Linked DNA regions of Macaca fascicularis. The protein of the gene in region 4 binds, or shares a complex with, the protein of the main gene of each other region. Links are inferred from orthologs where the notes say so. Each region holds a gene or a part of one and is shown on either strand. Other genes may lie near its edges.

What was found. Proteins that work in one complex are often made in the same cells at the same time.
Region 1: DRC10 (region 4) and DRC12 share a complex: the UniProt entries of both Homo sapiens proteins name them as parts of the nexin-dynein regulatory complex. The link is inferred for Macaca fascicularis from reciprocal best matches to the Homo sapiens genes DRC10 and DRC12.
Region 2: DRC10 (region 4) and DRC1 share a complex: the UniProt entries of both Homo sapiens proteins name them as parts of the nexin-dynein regulatory complex. The link is inferred for Macaca fascicularis from reciprocal best matches to the Homo sapiens genes DRC10 and DRC1.
Region 3: DRC10 (region 4) and DRC5 share a complex: the UniProt entries of both Homo sapiens proteins name them as parts of the nexin-dynein regulatory complex. The link is inferred for Macaca fascicularis from reciprocal best matches to the Homo sapiens genes DRC10 and DRC5.

What each region holds. Positions count from the first base shown.
Region 1 is NC_088388.1:118,066,422-118,070,424, forward strand, and holds the start of DRC12 (dynein regulatory complex protein 12), read right to left. Parts: upstream 2,817-4,003; 5' UTR 2,774-2,816; intron 2,476-2,773; 5' UTR 2,464-2,475; coding exon 2,403-2,463; intron 1,977-2,402; coding exon 1,902-1,976; intron 833-1,901; coding exon 713-832; intron 1-712. UniProt on the Homo sapiens protein: Component of the nexin-dynein regulatory complex (N-DRC), a key regulator of ciliary/flagellar motility which maintains the alignment and integrity of the distal axoneme and regulates microtubule sliding in motile axonemes.
Region 2 is NC_088387.1:95,843,315-95,847,605, reverse strand, and holds the start of DRC1 (dynein regulatory complex protein 1), read left to right. Parts: upstream 1-1,475; 5' UTR 1,476-1,532; coding exon 1,533-1,687; intron 1,688-4,291. UniProt on the Homo sapiens protein: Component of the nexin-dynein regulatory complex (N-DRC) a key regulator of ciliary/flagellar motility which maintains the alignment and integrity of the distal axoneme and regulates microtubule sliding in motile axonemes.
Region 3 is NC_088378.1:127,220,973-127,225,042, reverse strand, and holds the start of DRC5 (dynein regulatory complex subunit 5), read right to left. Parts: upstream 2,817-4,070; 5' UTR 2,702-2,816; exon of another isoform or gene 2,185-2,701; intron 1,327-2,184; exon of another isoform or gene 1,221-1,326; intron 1-1,220. UniProt on the Homo sapiens protein: Component of the nexin-dynein regulatory complex (N-DRC) a key regulator of ciliary/flagellar motility which maintains the alignment and integrity of the distal axoneme and regulates microtubule sliding in motile axonemes.
Region 4 is NC_088385.1:120,145,312-120,149,540, forward strand, and holds the start of DRC10 (dynein regulatory complex protein 10), read right to left. Parts: upstream 2,833-4,229; 5' UTR 2,791-2,832; intron 1-2,790. UniProt on the Homo sapiens protein: Component of the nexin-dynein regulatory complex (N-DRC), a key regulator of ciliary/flagellar motility which maintains the alignment and integrity of the distal axoneme and regulates microtubule sliding in motile axonemes.

The sequences.
Region 1 (4,003 bases), on a different chromosome or scaffold from region 4:
TTTTTCTTTTTTTTTTTTTTGAGACGGGGTCTCGCTCTGTCGCCCAGGCTGGAGTGCAGTGGTGCGATCTTGGCTCACTGCAAGCTCCGCCTCCCGGGTTCACCCCCTTCTCCTGCCTCAGTCTCCCGAGTAGCTGGGACTACAGGCACCTGCCACCACACCCGGCTAATTTTTTGCATTTTTAGTAGAGACGGAGTTTCACCATGTTAGCCAGGATGGTCTCGATCTCCTGACCTCGTGATCCGCCCGCCTCGGCCTCCCAAAGTGCTGGGATTACAGGTGTGAGCCACCACTCCCGGCCCATGGTCTTCTTGGTTCTTTTTGTGATTCTGAGAAGCTAGAGACCATGAAAACCTGAGGAAGGGAAAGGAAGCCCAACCCACCTCCCCCACCGTCCAGCTTTGGATGGGGATGCTAGTCCTTCTCCCCTCCCATAGGATGGTTGAGGTGATGGCTATGACTGCATGTGTATCCTACACAGCATCAAGCACATGGCACCAGGCATCCTGGCAGGCCCCTGCCTGGGATCCCAGGAACCTACCTGCCTTTGATTCCTGCAGGATCCTGCCTGATTTGTACTGTTCGGGGAAGACCAAGACCAGGCCTGGCAGTTGGAAGCCCTCCTTGTTTCCCTTCCTTGCATCATCTGACCCTGCTGGTTGTCTTCCTCCAGGCCCCTGTCTCCTGCCCACCTGCTCAACAGACCACACACCTGCATATATGGCCTTCCCTTCACTTCGGGCCCCTTCCAGCTCAGCCTCCACCCTTTGCAGCCTCTGCTTCAGCTGGTCTTCGGAAGCCTTGGCTCGACGGGCTTCATCCCTCCGTACAGCTGTGAGCAGTCCCAGAGCCACTGTCAGGACTGGCTGGGGCCCGCTAAATCAGCCCCCATGAACTTGATGAATTTTGCCCGTCTCTAGAAATCTGGTGGCGGGGCGTCCAGCCTCTTATTCTCTCTCTGGGTTTTGTTGTTTTTGTTTTTTATCCCTAGAGTCTCACAGGCTCCTCATTATTAAGAAGTAAAGACTCTCTCCATGTTCTGCCTATACAAAATAGCTTTCCGGATAGCCCGGCATGGTGGCTCATGCCTGTAATCCCAATATTTTGGGGGGCTTAGGTGGGAGAATTGCTTGAGGCCAGGAGTTTGAGACCTGCCTGGGCAACAGAGTGAGACCTTGTCTCTATAAGAAAAATAAATAGGGCCAGGCGCAGTGGCTCATGCCTGTAATCCCAGCACTTTGGGAGGCCAAGGTGGGAGGATCATGAGGTCAAGAGTTCGAGACCAGCTTGGCCAACATGGTGAAAACCTGTCTCTAATAAGAATACAAAAATTAGCCGGGTGTGGTGGCTGTGTGCCTGTAATCCCAGCTACTTGGGAGGCCGAGGCAGGGGAATCACTTGAGCCTGGGAGGCAGAGGTTGCAGTGAGCCAAGATCGCGCCACTGCACTCCAGCCTGGGCAACAGAGCACAGGACTCTGTCTTAAAAAAAAAGATAGTAAAATAAAATAAAATGAAATAATAAAATAAAATAAATTTTAAAAAAGAAAAATAAATAAATAAATAAATAAAGTAGCTAGGTAGGGTGGTGTGCACCAGCTACTCGTGAAGCTGAGGTGGGAAGATTGTTGGGGTCCAGGAGTTTGAGATTACAGTGAGCTATGATCACACCACTGCAGTCCAGCCTGGGCAATAGAGCAAGATTCTGTCTAAAAAAAAAAAAAGCTTCCTTTATCAACTCTCACTGCCCACCCCTCTCTCATTGTCTTTTTCCACTAGGGGATGGTTAGGGTTCAACTTAGCCCCCCACTGTATCTCCAACTCTCCAATCCCCCAGGATACAGAAATGCCCCATTTCACTTGCCCTGTTGCCCACCCCCATGCCAACTTCTACCCTCCTTACCCAAGTGGTCTCGGAGCAGCTCCTTCTCCAGCACCACCAGCCTGTGCCTGGACTCAGCCTCCACATCTGCACCTGCTGTGGCAAGTGGCAGAGCCTCAGCTCTTCGTGATCTCAGCATTCCTCACTCTCCTTGCGTCCTCGCCCCACACCCTGCACTTTTGCCACAGGAGACCTGAGGACCACTAAATGAGGGATCCATGGTGGCAGAGTCTACTGAAGTCAGCACTGTGTCCTTACCAACCAGCACATAACAGATATGCAAAATACACATGACAAATATATTAGGAAGGCACAAAGCTAGATGGTGCTTAAAGGACAGCGTGAGTGACCATTTCCCCACTTCCTCAGCTCCCTGCATCTGACTTCAAGGACACGAAAGAGGAAGGTCAAGAGAGTTCCATCCTGTCATGTAGAAGGCTGAATTCTCTCTGGAGGAGCTCTGCGTGGTCTTCATGCCAGAACATGGAGAAGCAGGGGGCACCTCCACCCACCATGACTCACCCCAGTTCTTTTTCTTCTGCGCCCCAGATTTCTTCCCTTTTTCTTTGTTTTTAAGTGGCATCTCCTTGCTGTCCTGGGAGAAGGAGGGGACCTTATGTTTAGGTCTGGACACAGGGATGCTTTCCTGACTGAATCAGGAGTCTCAGGGGAGTCTCCTGGTTCTACTCCAAATTTGCATCTCATACTCTTCAGAAAAGTCAGTTCACAGTCTCTTTGGAACCTCAGGCAGGGTTGGGGTCAACGGGGAGGGTGAAGTTTTTTCTCTCAACCAGGCTGACTGTACGGAAGTCACTCCTCACAACTCTCTTTTAGATAAATCCCTGTACCTGCTCCCCTCCCTCTTCCCATCATCCTCAACCCCCTCTTCCTACCTGTAGGATCCTCTCCTGCCAGTGTTGGGGCTCCCTGTGGAGTGACCCACCCGTGGGGAGTGGCAGAGAGAAGGCCCAACTAGCGAGGAGCCTGAGGCGGGGCCTGGGTCCTGGGAGCCAATCCTTGGTGGCAAATTTCTCTTGAGGGCAGGACTGAGGGCTGGAAGGTTGGGTTTCGGGAGGCTGTATGTTGTCCAGGCAACTGGGAAACATGGAGTTGGTAGGAAGGTGGAATGGGCTAAATCAGCTCACAAAGCTTAAAATATCAAGGTCTCAAAGGGTCAGTTCTTTCCTTATCCCAAAACCCTAAGTATAGTTTGAAAAGAAAGGGCTTTGGAGGCCGATTGGTTATGATTCATTGCCACGTAGACATGGCCTGCAATTTGGAGACTTCCAAATTCAGATGTACACATCTGAGATAATATGTTGTGCTGATACAGAGGAAAAGGACTGACAGTAGCCATGTTGGACAATTGACATCCCGAGGTCCCATCAGCAAAATGACATTAGTAGGTTTAAAACTGAAGATCTAAGCTGGGGGCGGTGGCTCATGCCTATAATCCCAACATTTTCAGAAGCTGAGGCAGGAGGATTACTTGAGGCCAGGAGTTCAAGACCAGCCTGGACAACACAGTGAGACCTCATTTCTACAAAAAATTAAAAAATTAGCCTGGCAGGGTGGTGCACACCTGTTAGTCTCAGCTACTCGGGAGGCTGAAGCAGGAGAACCACTTGAGCCTGGGAGGTTGAGGCAGCAGTGAGCTATGATTGCACCACTGCACTCCAGCCTGGATGACAGAGGGAGACCCTGTCTCAAACAAACAAACAAACAAACAAACAAAAACCCCAAACCACTGAAGATCCTCTTCAGTACACTGTGGAATGAGGGTAATAAGTACAGGAATAGGTAGTCGAGGGCGTTTCCCACTTCAGAGAAATGAGACACAAAGGAACAGCAGACCCATGGACTCTAGGGTACTGACCTAGAGGGATGCAAGTGTGCAGGAAAGTGCTCAGGTTAGAGACAAGACATTTGAGTTTGAGTCCCAACTGTGGATATGTAAACTGAGGCAAGCCATTTGACTTTGCTCAGCATCAGTTTCCTGATCTTTAAATGTTTGATTTTGTAGCTCTTGAAAAGCCTGTGTTTTAGCTAGGTGTTTACATGGCTATCTTCTCTCCTAGTTACTTAATCTATTGCTACATTTCCCCATTCCCTTGTGTGGTTGA
Region 2 (4,291 bases), on a different chromosome or scaffold from region 4:
AGACGGGGGTTTCACCGTGTTAGCCAGGATGGTCTCGATCTCCTGACCTCGTGATTCTCCCATCTCGGCCTCCCAAAGTGCTGGGATTACAGGCGTGAGCCACCGCGCCCGGCCACACCTAGGCTTTTTTAACAGCTTGCCCAGATGTGGAGAAGAGGGAGTGCTGCTTAAAAGCTGTCAGCAGCCAAATATCAGCAGCAAAAAATGGAGTCAGATTTCTTATTTAAAAAGATGTTGGAAGTGGTATCGGGACAGTGTAGGGCCAAAGTATCTCACTGATCTCTTTTCATGGGTTTGTATGGTACCTTTGCTCTCACTTATCTCTTGTGCAACAGCTGATTCCCACTGACTTTCTCATGGTATCCTACTCCCAGGCATAGACATGCGTATGCACACATACTTGTTTCTGTCCTTATGGATAGTGGAAACAAGAACCAGAACCAGGGTGAGTTTTTGGTCAGAGCTGTACCATGGCTCCTAGGAGAGTTTAATGCTTTAGGTTTCAACCAAAGGAGACAGAGATCTGGCAGAAGACCCTGAAGCCTAGAAGCAACTACCCCCACTCCTCCTACCACCACCACCTAGGCAGGTGTGAGGCAAGGATCCAGGCAGCTGCTGTTAGACTCTACAGCTGTTGGATGGTTTTGGCATTCCTAAACCTTACTACTGCTTGCAAACTTGGAAGAACTGATTTTAAAAACCCACTCCATTTGCCTCTGGGCAGTTCTTACTCACAAAGGGTGGATCTTCTTGGCCCCACAATTGTCTGTGGGTTGCACCATTTAACAGCTGAGAAAATGGCCCTCAAGAAGTTGTGACTTGCCCAAGGTGGCAGGGCAGGGCTAGGACTAGTACCCACCCTTTCTCACTGCTCATCCAGTGCCCTTAATTCCCCAAGGGCTAATGGGACAGAACCCTGTTAAATGGTATCCAGTATTTGGTTGGTTGGTTGGTTGGGTTTGTTTGAGACAGAGTCTTGCTCTTGCCCAGGATGGAGTGCAGTGGCTCGATCTCGGCTCACTGCAACATCCACCTCCCAGATTCAAGTGATTCTCCGGCCTCAGCCTCCCGAGTAGCTGGGATTACAGGTGCCCACCACCAAACCCAGCTAAGTTTTGTATTTTTACAAACATTTGTATTTGTATTTGGTGACTATGAGTTGGAGGAATATTTGATGAATTAATGGAAGATGAATTAATCATCAAGGTCAGTAAGTGATGAACCACAGCTTGGTCCAGCTCTTTAGTCCTCTAGTCTCCTGGTGAGACTCCACAGCTCCGCTAATACGACCGGGCCTTCGTGGGGCTGACAACAGCCCTGACAAGCCACCGGCTAGAGAGGCGTCAGCCCGAGGCTGGGATGCTCCGCCCGAATGGCGGCTGGCGGCGGGCTGGGCCCAGGGAGCTGCGCGCGCAACCACTCGGGCGGTGGCCCCGGTGACCGCTCTCCCTGGCAACGGTTTGTTGCTAGCAACCAGCCTGCGGTCTGGAGGTGGTGCGGAGGGAGCCGCCTAGGTGCCGGGGACTCCTGCCATGAATCCGCCGGGGTCCCTAGCGGGCCTGGACCCGAACCTGGACGAGCACTTGTCCACCCAGATTCTCGCGCCCTCGGTCCACTCCGACAACCCTCAGGAGCGCATCCAGGCCCGGCGCCTCCGCATCGCGGCGCGCCTAGAAGCCCGGAGGCGGTGAGCGCTGGGCGGGCGGGGCGGGATCGCGCAGCAGGGGCCGGAGCAGGGCTGGTTTCCTGATGAAATAGAAACATTTCTTCCGGAAGGTTCATGCAGAGTATGGGAAAGTAAAACGCTGGGCCGGTGCCGCGACGCGCGCCTGTCATCCCAGCATTCAGGGAGGCCGAGGCGGGAGGCTCACTTGAGCCCAGGAGTTCGAGATGATCAGTCTGGGCAGCATAGAGAGACCGCATCTCTATAAAACACCAAAATATTAATCGGGCCTGGTGGCCCGCGACTGTGGTCTGCACATGGCATCTTTTCCACTACGTACACCCCCAAACCGTAGGGTCTGCTGGATCATGTGGCCCAAGTAGCCTGGCTGCTTACACTGTGGCCTGGGTCCTTTCCTGTTCCAGGCACCACTCAAAGCTGGCAGCTTTTTGTGTCAGCCTGAATAGTATTCCTAATGCGGGATGTACTAGGACCCAAAGTGGTCTAAGAGGCATTGAGTTTCCTTCTCTGTAGAGGATGCAAAACGCAGTAGATTTGTTTTTTACTTGATAGGCTATCCCAGTGTGCCACTGACCACTGGACCCCTACAAACTTGAATGACATGCAGTCCCTGGGCCTTCATAGGGTTGATTGCCAACGTCTGGAGCACACATGTCTTACCAAGCCCTGCAGTGTGTTTCCATCACTCGCTCATCCTGGCTGATTGCTGCAGGGCCATCAGTGGAATGCAGGGGCTGGCAAACCCTTTCAGTAAAGGGCCAGATAGTAAATATTTTAGGCTTTTGGGATCATATGGCATCTTTCCTAGCTGCTCAACTGCCATTGTAGTGCAAAAGCAGCCACAGGCAAGACATAAACAAATGGGCATGACTGTGTTCCAATAAAGCTTTATTTATGGACACTGAAATTTGAATTTCATATACTGTTCATGTATCACAAAATAGCCTTCTTTTGATTAAAAATAATAATAAACTTTATTTTTTAGAGCAGTTTTTAGGATCACAGCAAAATTGGTCAAAAGGTACAGCATTCCCATATACTCCCTGCCACCACACGTGCACAGCCACTGTCAACATCCTGCACTGGAAGGCACATTTGTAACAATATATGAACCTTGGCGCATCGTTATCACTTGAACTCCATCGTTTACCTTAGGGTTTCTTTTTGGTGTTGTATAGCCTATGGGTTTGAATAAATTTATAGTGACATGAGCCCACCAATATGGTATTACACCAAATATTTTCACTGCCCTAAAAATCCCCTGTGCTCTACTTATTCATCCTAGTCTTTTTAAACCATTCATTTATATATTTTTTAACCATTTAAAATTGTAAAAAATTGTAGCTTGTGCCTGTAATCCCAGCACTTTGGGAGGCCAAGGCAGGAGGATCACCTAAGGTCAGGAGATCAAGGCCAGCCTGGCCAACATGGTGAAACCCCGTCTGTACTAAAAATACAAAAATTAGTTGGGTGTGGTGGCAGGCACCTGTAATCTCAGTTACTTGGGAGCCTGAGGCAGGAGAATTGCTCGAACCTGGGAGGTGGAGGTTGCAGTGAACTGAGATAGTGCCACTGCACTCCAGCCTGGGTGACAAGTGCAAAACTCCGTCTCAAAAAAAAAAAAAAAAAAAAAAAAGGGCCAGGCGCAGTGGCTCATACCTGTAATCCCAACACTTCGGGAGGCTGAGGCGGGCGGGATCATGAGGTCAGGAGTTTGAGACCAGCCTGACCAACATGGCGAAACCCTGTCGCTATTAAAAATACAAAAATTAGCCAGGGATGGTGGCGTACACCTGTAATCCCAGCTACTCAGGAGACTGAGGCAGGAGAATCGCTTGAACCCAAGAGGCAGAGGTTGCAGTGAGCTGAGATCGTGCCATTGTACTCCAGCCTGGGCAACAGAGCGAGACTCTATCTCAAAAAAAAAAAAAAATTGTCAGAATCATTATTTGCCTGGAAGCCATAAAAAAGCACGTGGTGGACTGGATCTGGCCCACAGGCCATAGTTTGCCAGTGCTGAAGTAATGGATCATTGTGATGTTCTCTGGGATATCCAGATGTCCCTGATGTATTCAGAATATATTATGACAGAGATCAGGAGAATTACCATGGTCCTGTGAGTGTGACAGACTTGTGAGTGTATATCATTGTCTGTTCCATGTAAATGTGAACTTCCTGATTCTTTTTCCTGATGTAGAAAAGCATGCATTTGACCCAATCAGTAGCCACACATACTGTGCCTGAGGCTGTACAAATTTGCTCTAGCGAAGCTTACCACACTTGCGTAGATGCTGTGTTCAGGAGTGCTACCTGTGCAGCTTCCGGTAGTTGACAGTCGTTTTCTAGGATCCAGTTTCTGCAGGTGCCAGATCCATGAATTAAAAGGAGATTCAATAGGGATCACCACTCCTGCATCGTTGAGATACTTCAGGGTGACACTAATGCCCACCAACCGCCCTGGGCGGCAATGTTGTTTTCTGTGTACTCAGGTGCAGTTTCAGAGATGTACTTTTGGCCTTCCCCACTATGACAGGTCTATTTGTAGGCCAAGGAGTGGAGTTTTTCAAACTTCTAAGTATGTCAGTCCCAATTCTACTTTTGGCCATT
Region 3 (4,070 bases), on a different chromosome or scaffold from region 4:
TGGTACTTTACTATGGGAATTTCAGGGCCCTAATGTACAGTTTTCATCCCTGTTAGGGTAAATGCATTTTCCCCCTAAATGAAACAAAATTTAATATTTTCATCAGGGCAGTCCTGGAGGTGGCTGAAGGGTCACCTTCCTCTCTGGAGCTTTCCTTCCCTGGGGAACCTGTTGGGTCAGTCAGAGAATCCCAGAGTTTGAAGACTAGGAGCATGTTCAAGACGCCAGTCTTGAACATGGGCAGGGCAGGAATCCTGACATTCCAGAGAGGTCAGGGCCACCAGGAGTGGGTATGTCTTGTGCCACCACCTGGTGTCCCCATCCAAGGATGTGCTGTGCTCTCAGAGGGGGAAAGTGGGGACACATGCAGTGGACTTTCACTTCTCTGGGGCCTGCCTTTACCAGCTAGTTTGGCTTCACATGGCTGTGTCTCTAACCTGGTACCACAGTCCCTAGGGAAGGGACAATCCTCCTCCCCTGGGCCCCTACTGTGCATCCTCAGGACCAGGGTCCAGGGTCCTGAAATCACACACAGGGAACAACATCCATACCAGGCCATTAACTCAAAGGACCGGGTGTGAAGGACTGCTCTTTCCATGCCCAAGCACGTGTAATAGAAAGTGACAAGATGCTCCAGTTTGGCCAGAGTTGTCCTCATTTCTGATGGCTTGAATCTGGTGGACAGGTGTTCTGGGAACGATACCCTTGGCTATATATAGCTATGATTTATTGAGAGCTCTAGGCCTTCAATGGCATGTACATAGCAGGAGGCAGGACAGCAGCTGGCTAAGTACTCAGGAGTTGAGCTGCTGCCTCAAGTCAAATCTCCACAGTGCCCCCCACTATCTGTGCAACCTTGGGCAGGTCCCCGCTTGCCTCAGTTTCTTCATCTATAATGTGAGGACAGTACTTAATAGTACCTATTTCATAGGATTACCCAGAAGATTAAGGTGTTAATGTGTGTGAGACATTTCATATAGTGCTGGGCCCAGAGCCAGCACTCAAGATGTGTGTTAGATATAGTGAAGATGCTAGATGGCTTACTTACATAATTTCATTAAATTCTGAAATTAATTATTGAGGATTATTATTTAACACTATTGTCCCTGTTTCACAAATGAAGAAACTGAAACTTAGAAAGCTTAAGTAACTTACTAAATGTCACTAGCTAGTAAGTGGAGAAGCTGAGGTTTTAGTTTGTGTCTGTCTAATGCTCTTACTTCCATGAGATGCTGGGGTTGCTTATAAATTGCTCCCAACTCAGTCATTCACAGCACTTTTCCAGTGAGTCTCCCACTTTCTCCAGCTCATGAGCTCTCTTGTTCACCAACACGGAGCCCAGGGTTATCCCCTTGGTGCTGACCTAAATAGTCCAGGCTCCCTCTTCCAGTTCACTGCTGGGCACAGAAGCCTTCTGCAAGCTGGACCACTGCCTGCATCCTTTGGAGGGCCAGAGGAGCCCAACGGAGTGCTGCAGAGTAGTGCTCTCCTGCCCCTGGCACATTCCCTCCACAGGAAGTCTCCGGTCTTCTCTATCCTTCCTCAGGTCCCCAGCTAAATCTAACCATTCTGGGCAGGAGCTCCTTCCACCTGCCCTAATGGGAACACGAGGAAGATGCTGTAGGGGAGCATTCTCACCTTCTTGTGCATCACAGTCCTGGTCCTCAACTGTCCTTACCTCCCTTCCTCTTAGCCGAGAAGTGGAGACACCCAGTTCTCTTTGGGCAGACAGCACCTCTGTGCCTGGGACACTTCCCCAGGAGCTGGCTCTGCACCCACTGCTCTGACTGCCTTCTTAGCCACTCCCATCCCAGATCCCCTCAGGAGAGCCCTCGTCTGTCCTCAGGACTCTCGGCTTTTGTCTACACCCACCTCCATTTCTTTCATGCCCACCATGTCTTACTTTGGGGTAAGTCACTCCCAAGTTGGGAATTCCATTTATGGAAGGGCAAAAAACTTTCTCCAACCGGGCCTCGGCCCGCGTACTTGGACTTGGGCTGGGTGAAACCGCCAGTTCACTTACCACAGCCCCCGGGCTGGCCTCCTCCCAACTCCTGACCACTCAGGTCTGTTGTCTCAAAAGGGACTCCAGCGGTTCTGCTCCCACCCCTCCTTACCTTCAGCTCAGACACCCTAGCAAGGAAGCTCAGCTGCAAAGGCCACGGGGTCCCTCCCCCATCCTACCTGGGGTGTAGAGGCGCTGGTTTCTCCTTGGTAACCCAGGAAAACCGGCAGTGCAGTGGGAGGGAGGGAGATGCGGAAGCAAGCTTCTGGACACGCGGGAGGGATTACAGCCCTCGGGTGCTGGGAACAGGGACGGCCTTTCGCAGAAGGCTGGGGCCCCAGGGCTTGGGACCGCTCTCCTCCACGCCCTACGGATGCCCCATTTTCCCCCTCTTCTTCCCATAGTTCCTCCGCTCGCCTCACTCGGATACCCAGCCCTGGGCCAGACGGTCTGCAGACAGTGACTGTGGTGGGGAGGAGGCGCGGGGCGTCCTCGCATGGAGGGCGTGGGGTCTCCTGTGGGTACGGACCGGCGCTTCCCCGCCACAGAAAACGGAACCCAGGCAATGGCCGCCTGTGGGCTTCTGGCCGGTGTGGGCAGAGGACGCTAGAGGGGCTCCCGGGCCCAGCTGACCTGAGCGGGCCCCGATAAGGGAGACCGGGGCTGTGTGTCCCCACTCCCCCGAGGTCGCCTCACCCGCTTCGGGAGCCTCGGCGCTCGCCTCACACAGAGTCCCGCGCGCCGGCGCCGGTCATTGTCGTTGGGGACGCCCCGTGTTGCTAGGAGCGGGCCGGGCCGGGAGGACCAGTGCGCCGCGGTTCAGAGGAGGGGGCGCTGCTGCTTCCTTGGCTGCAGCTGCGCGCCGGCAAGCGGCTCACTCGCGCGCAGGGTGGCGAGGCCAGCCCTTCGGACGGTTCCGTGGAAGCGGCCGCTTTGGGGGTAGTGGGACCGTGGTCTTGAGCTATGCCCTGTGCTTCCGTGGGACGTGTCTAGGAACGGGTGGGCTTTCTGCGGGAGGTGGAGGTCGGGCAGGCTGCTGGTCTGGAGTCCTTGTGCTCTATTGCTAGCTTTTGTGTGGCCATGGATAGGGAGCTGGTCCAGGAAAAGCGTCTGTGGAAGATGAGGGTGGACGGACCTTCTCCAGGGCACCTGTGTAAGTCACTGAACTCCCCTGAGGTCTCCTGTTGACCTTAGGCCCTGCGGGAGGGCACCGTCCACCTTTTCCCCGGCTGAAAATCTGGCACCAGACGCAGGAAGGTTCCAGGCCAACAGAGTGCTCTTTCACACAGCCCATGTCCTGTGCCAAACACCCTTCCAGCCCTGGCGCCACAAGATGTGGTTGGGGCCCCTGATCTCCTGGAGGGTGAGAGGGACAGACTTCAGAGGGACGGCTAATAAAAAAAGAAAGTGGCCTTCAGGAAGGGAGAGGCAGCCAGGGTGGTGGAGGTTTCAAAGGGTAGCTTTGATTTCGGCTCTGCCGAGGACTACTAGTTGGTTACCCTGGATGTACATCTCGAAGCTCTGTTAACTCATCAATAAATCGGGGTGCCACAACTCATCTTGGCGCCCGCGGAGGAACTTGGACCAGGGCCTGTGGTGAGCACTGCTGAACAGTGGCTACTGCTCCAGTGGCCAGGATGCTGAGGCAAAGCTTTGCAAGCAGCGAGGGGCCAGGCACCAGGGATTGGGTCTGTTCAAGCCCTCACCAGTGCCTCACCAGCAAATCTATGCCTTAATTAGAATGAGAAACTGTGCAGAAAATGATGTCAGGCAGGCCCACGCTGCTAGAATTTTTACTACACAGAACTTGGTACCCAGGGAGCCCTTGATTTGAACATGGGTCCCCTGGGGCCCTTTCCTTCATCTAGCAACAGAGATCTAGGAACAGAGGCAGAGGTCCAACATCTGGCTGTCTGAGGTGGACTCATTCTAGTAGGGAAGGAGGGCTTTCCTCCATCTCTTGGCTTCCACCTGCTTTGAGGTGTCAATTTTCAGCTTTAGCTCAGGCTTGAGGCAGGTGCTGTACAACTTGTTTTAAGAAGTGTAGTTTGTCTGACCCCGCTCT
Region 4 (4,229 bases):
AACCCCATCTCTACTAAAAATACAAAAATTAGCAGCACATGATGGCGGGCACCTGTAATCCCAGCTACCTGGTAGGCTGAGGCAGGAGAATTGCTTGGACCCAAGAGGCGTAGGTTGCAGTGAGCTGAGATTGCACCACTGCATTCCAGCCTGGGCAACAGAGAGGGGCTCTGTCTCAAAAACAAAACAAACAAAAAACAGCCTATCTCAAACCCCTCCTGCTCTCAGGCACTAATGTATAATGTTACTTTATGTCAGAAACCAACCCCCCATGAACAATTTCTCCCTGGATTAACAATTTCTCATTCTTTAGGTCTTAGCTCAATGGCTACCCCTTCTCAGACAGGAACACACAGCACTTTACAACCTGTGGAAATTCTCTCACCTTTCCTGCATGGTACTAACCACGCGTGTAATTTTTTTTTTTACAGCTCTATTGAGGTGTAATTTACATTACCATAAAATTCACCCATTGTAAGTATAAAACTCAATGACTATTTTTGTAAATGTATCTAAAGTTGCCACATCAGTTTTAGATACAATCCTGTTTTAGAACATTTCTATCACTCCACCAAATTCCCATGAGCTAATCTGCAAACGATCTCTGTTTCCACTCACATTTTTTTGTTGTAGTTGTTTTGTTTTTGAGACTGAGTCTCGCTCTGTTGCCCAGGCTGGAGTACAGTGGCGTGATCTCAGCTCACTGCAACCTCCACCTTCCAGATTCAAGCAATTCTCGTGCCACTGCACTCCAACCTGGGCAACAACACAAAACTCCATCTCAAAAAAAAAAGAAAAGAAAAATCGTAAAGCTCAGATCAAAATAATGAAATACTCATTTGCTTTTTTTTTTTTTTTTGAGACAGAGTCTCACTCTATTGCCCAGGCTGGAATGCAGTGGCATGATCTCGGCTCACTGCAACCTCCGCCTCCTAGGTTCAAGTGATTCTCCTGCCTCAGCCTCCCAAGTAGCTGGGAATACAGGGGCCCGCCAGCATGCCCTGCTAATTTTTGTATTTTTAGTAGAGACGGGGTTTTGCTATGTTGGCCAGGCTGGTCTCGAACTCCTGACCTCAGGTGATCCACCTGCCTGTGCCTCCCACAGTGCTGGGATTACAGGCATGAGCCACTGTGCCTGGCCTATGTTTAACTTTTTAAGAAACTGCCAACTATATTTCAGATTGGTGGTACCAATTGGTATTCTGCTGTACCTACCAGCAATATATGAAAGCTAGTTTGTTTATCTACATGATGATATTTGGGATTGTCTTTTTGATTTTTAAATGTCTACTTAACTCTTTTGCCCATTAAAAAAATGGAGTTGTCCTCTTGAGTTATAAGAGTTATTTTTATTTTCTACATACAAGTCTATTATAAGACACATGAGATTTGCAAATATTTCCTCCATGTCTGTGTCTGTGGCTGATCTTTTCATTTTCTTACGAAAATATCTTTTGAACCTCAAAGTTTTTCTTTTTTATATATTTTTTTGAGACAGGGTTTTTCACTCTGTGGCCCAGGCTGGAGTGCAGCAGTGCAATCATGGCTCACTACAACCTCCGCCTCTTGGGTTCAAGCGATTCTTCCACCTCAGCCTTATTTATTTATTTATTTATTTATTTATTTATTTATTGAGATGGAGCCTCGCTCTATCACCCCCGCGGGAGTGCAGTGGCACCATCTCGGCTCACTGCAACCTCCACCACCCGGGTTCAAGAAATTCTCCTGCCTCAGCCTCCCGAGTAGATGGGATCACAGGCATGCACCACCATGCCCAGCTAATTTTTGTATTTTTAGTAGAGACAGGGCTTCACCATGTTGGCCAGGCTGGTCTCAAACTCCTGGCCTCAGGTGATCCGCCGCTCGGCCTCCCAAATTGTTGGGATTGCAGATTGAGCCACTGTGCCCACCCCTCAGCCTCATTTAATCATCACAAGAAACTCTCTATCTTTAGTAGGTACAAAGAGATTACATTTTAAGGACGGAGATGGGAAATAAATTCCAAAGTTAGGACAAAGGCAAAAGTGGTATAATAAAAATTACCTAATTTATTTATTTATTTGGGACAGAGTCCTGCTCTGTTGCGGAGGATGGAGTGCAATGGCGCGATCTTGGTTTACTGCAACCTCGGTCTCCCGGGTTCAAGTGATTCTCGTGCCTTAGCCTCCCGAGTAGCTGGGATTACAGGTGCACCACCATGCCCAGCTAATTTTTGTATTTTCAGTAGAGATGAGGTTTCACTATATTGGCCAGGCTGGTCTAGAACTCCTGACCTTTAGTGATCTGCCCGCCTTGGCCTCCCAAAGTACTGGGATTACAGGCGTGAGTCACCGCGCTAGGCAAAAACAACAACAACAACAACAACAACAAAAACAAACAAAAACTACCTAATTTAAACACTTAAGTGAGATGGCCCGCTCACCGAGGAACGTATGGTCGTTGGGTGGAATGGGAGGGGACTTATAAACCCCCCTCCCACCCACAGCTCCCATGTTTGACTTGAAATAAGTTAACTACGATGTGACTCTGCTTGACTGGTGTCCTTGTCGTTTTAGGGATGAGGGAGTGGGGCCATGAAGTGGGCAGGTAGAAGGGGAAGAATGGAGGCCGGCTCCCTGCAGGCTGTGGAGCGAGAGGTCCAGACTGAGGCAGGGGCTGAGGGACGGGGTCCTGAAGCTGAGACGGGATCGCAGCGGGGGCTACCAATTTCTCAGGGAGCCAAAGGACATCGGGCTGAACCCCATTCCACATCTCCCCCGATCCGCGACCCTTTCCCACCTGGTTACTCACCCGCTCTGACGGCTCCAGGTTTCCCTAGCCACAGTTACCGCCGCGGTCCCAGCGTTGCGAGGTTACCCGCCAATCTCAGAAGGCGGGACTCTGTGTCTGACTGACCTTTCTTTTCACCATTCAATTTCTTGTTCCGCTCAATTGTCCCCACCTCCTGAAGTCTGACCAATCAGAAGCACCGCCATTTTGACCTTGCACCAATGGAAAGACTTGGGACTCCCTCTGGGTTGGACTCAACGATTAAGGCGGGGAAGATGGGAGGAGAAAGGGGCGTGGATTCTTCGTCCCGCCCCTTCTTAAGGAGGCGGGCAGGGAGTACTGCCTCGGCTGCGGGCGAGACCTGCGGAAAGACGTGAGAATTGACCAATCAGAGCTCATCATGGTAGCCCAGTTAGCCAGTAGGACGCTGTGAAGGGGAAATGGGGCGGGGCGAGCGGGGTTGAGAGGACGGTAGGCGGCGGATGGGAGAGCTGGCGCAGCTACCCTGGTGGCGGTGGCTGAAGTGGCGGCGGCTGCGGCGGCTGCAACAGCTTCGGGCTCGGGGTTTTGGCGGCGGCGCCGGCGGGCTGGGCTGCGTGGTACGGACCCCGGCGCGCGGTCCGGGTTGCTGGGGCGGCGCGTGTAAGAATCCGAGGGATGCGAGGACTTGGCCAGAGGGAGAGGGCAGGGATCAGGGTCAGAGGGCGCGGAGTAAGGGGTTGCGGCGCGACACTCTGGTGTGGGAGGTGGGCTGAATGGGCCCAGAGAGGGCGCGGGGAAGTCTCCGCCGCGCTTCTCTCCGTCCAGCCCGGGCCGGGGCTTTGCACCCTCTCTCCTTGCCCCCGACTTCTTGGGGCGACCCTCACGTGGGCGCCCAGCCAGGGGCTGGGAGCACGCGGAGCTGGAGCCAGCGCTCCTGCCTCCTTCTTGCTCCCTCCCTCGCTCTTCTCCCTGGCGCCCTCAGGTGACCCCGCAGGAGTCTCGTGCCCGGGTCAGGCTGCCCGAGCGGACAGCGGCATGGCAGCTGGCCCTCTTCCCCTAGGCCCTTTCCCCAGGGCTGGCCATTTGGGTCCTCTGTAGAGGCAGAAGCAAAGCCCGCGGAGGGAACACTGGACCAGGACTCAGGAGTCCCGGGTTCTAGCCCCGCTCCTGCACTGTGTGACCTTGGGCAAGTCTCTTCCCCTCTCTGGACCTCATTTTTGTCTCGCTGGACAAATGACGTGTTTGAATTCAAATCAGGGTACTGGTTCTAGTCGTAGGTGTATATAGGGTCATGGTTAAGCAGGAAGGTTCCCTGATTCAGACTACCTGGGTTGAAACTTATAAGAGGCAAGTTAACCACTCCAAGATTCAATTTCCTCATTCGTAAAGTGGGGATATTAGCTAAGATAGGATTTTTCAACAGCAGCTCAATTGACATTTTGAGCCACATAATCCCCCGACTCCACCCACCAGCAATC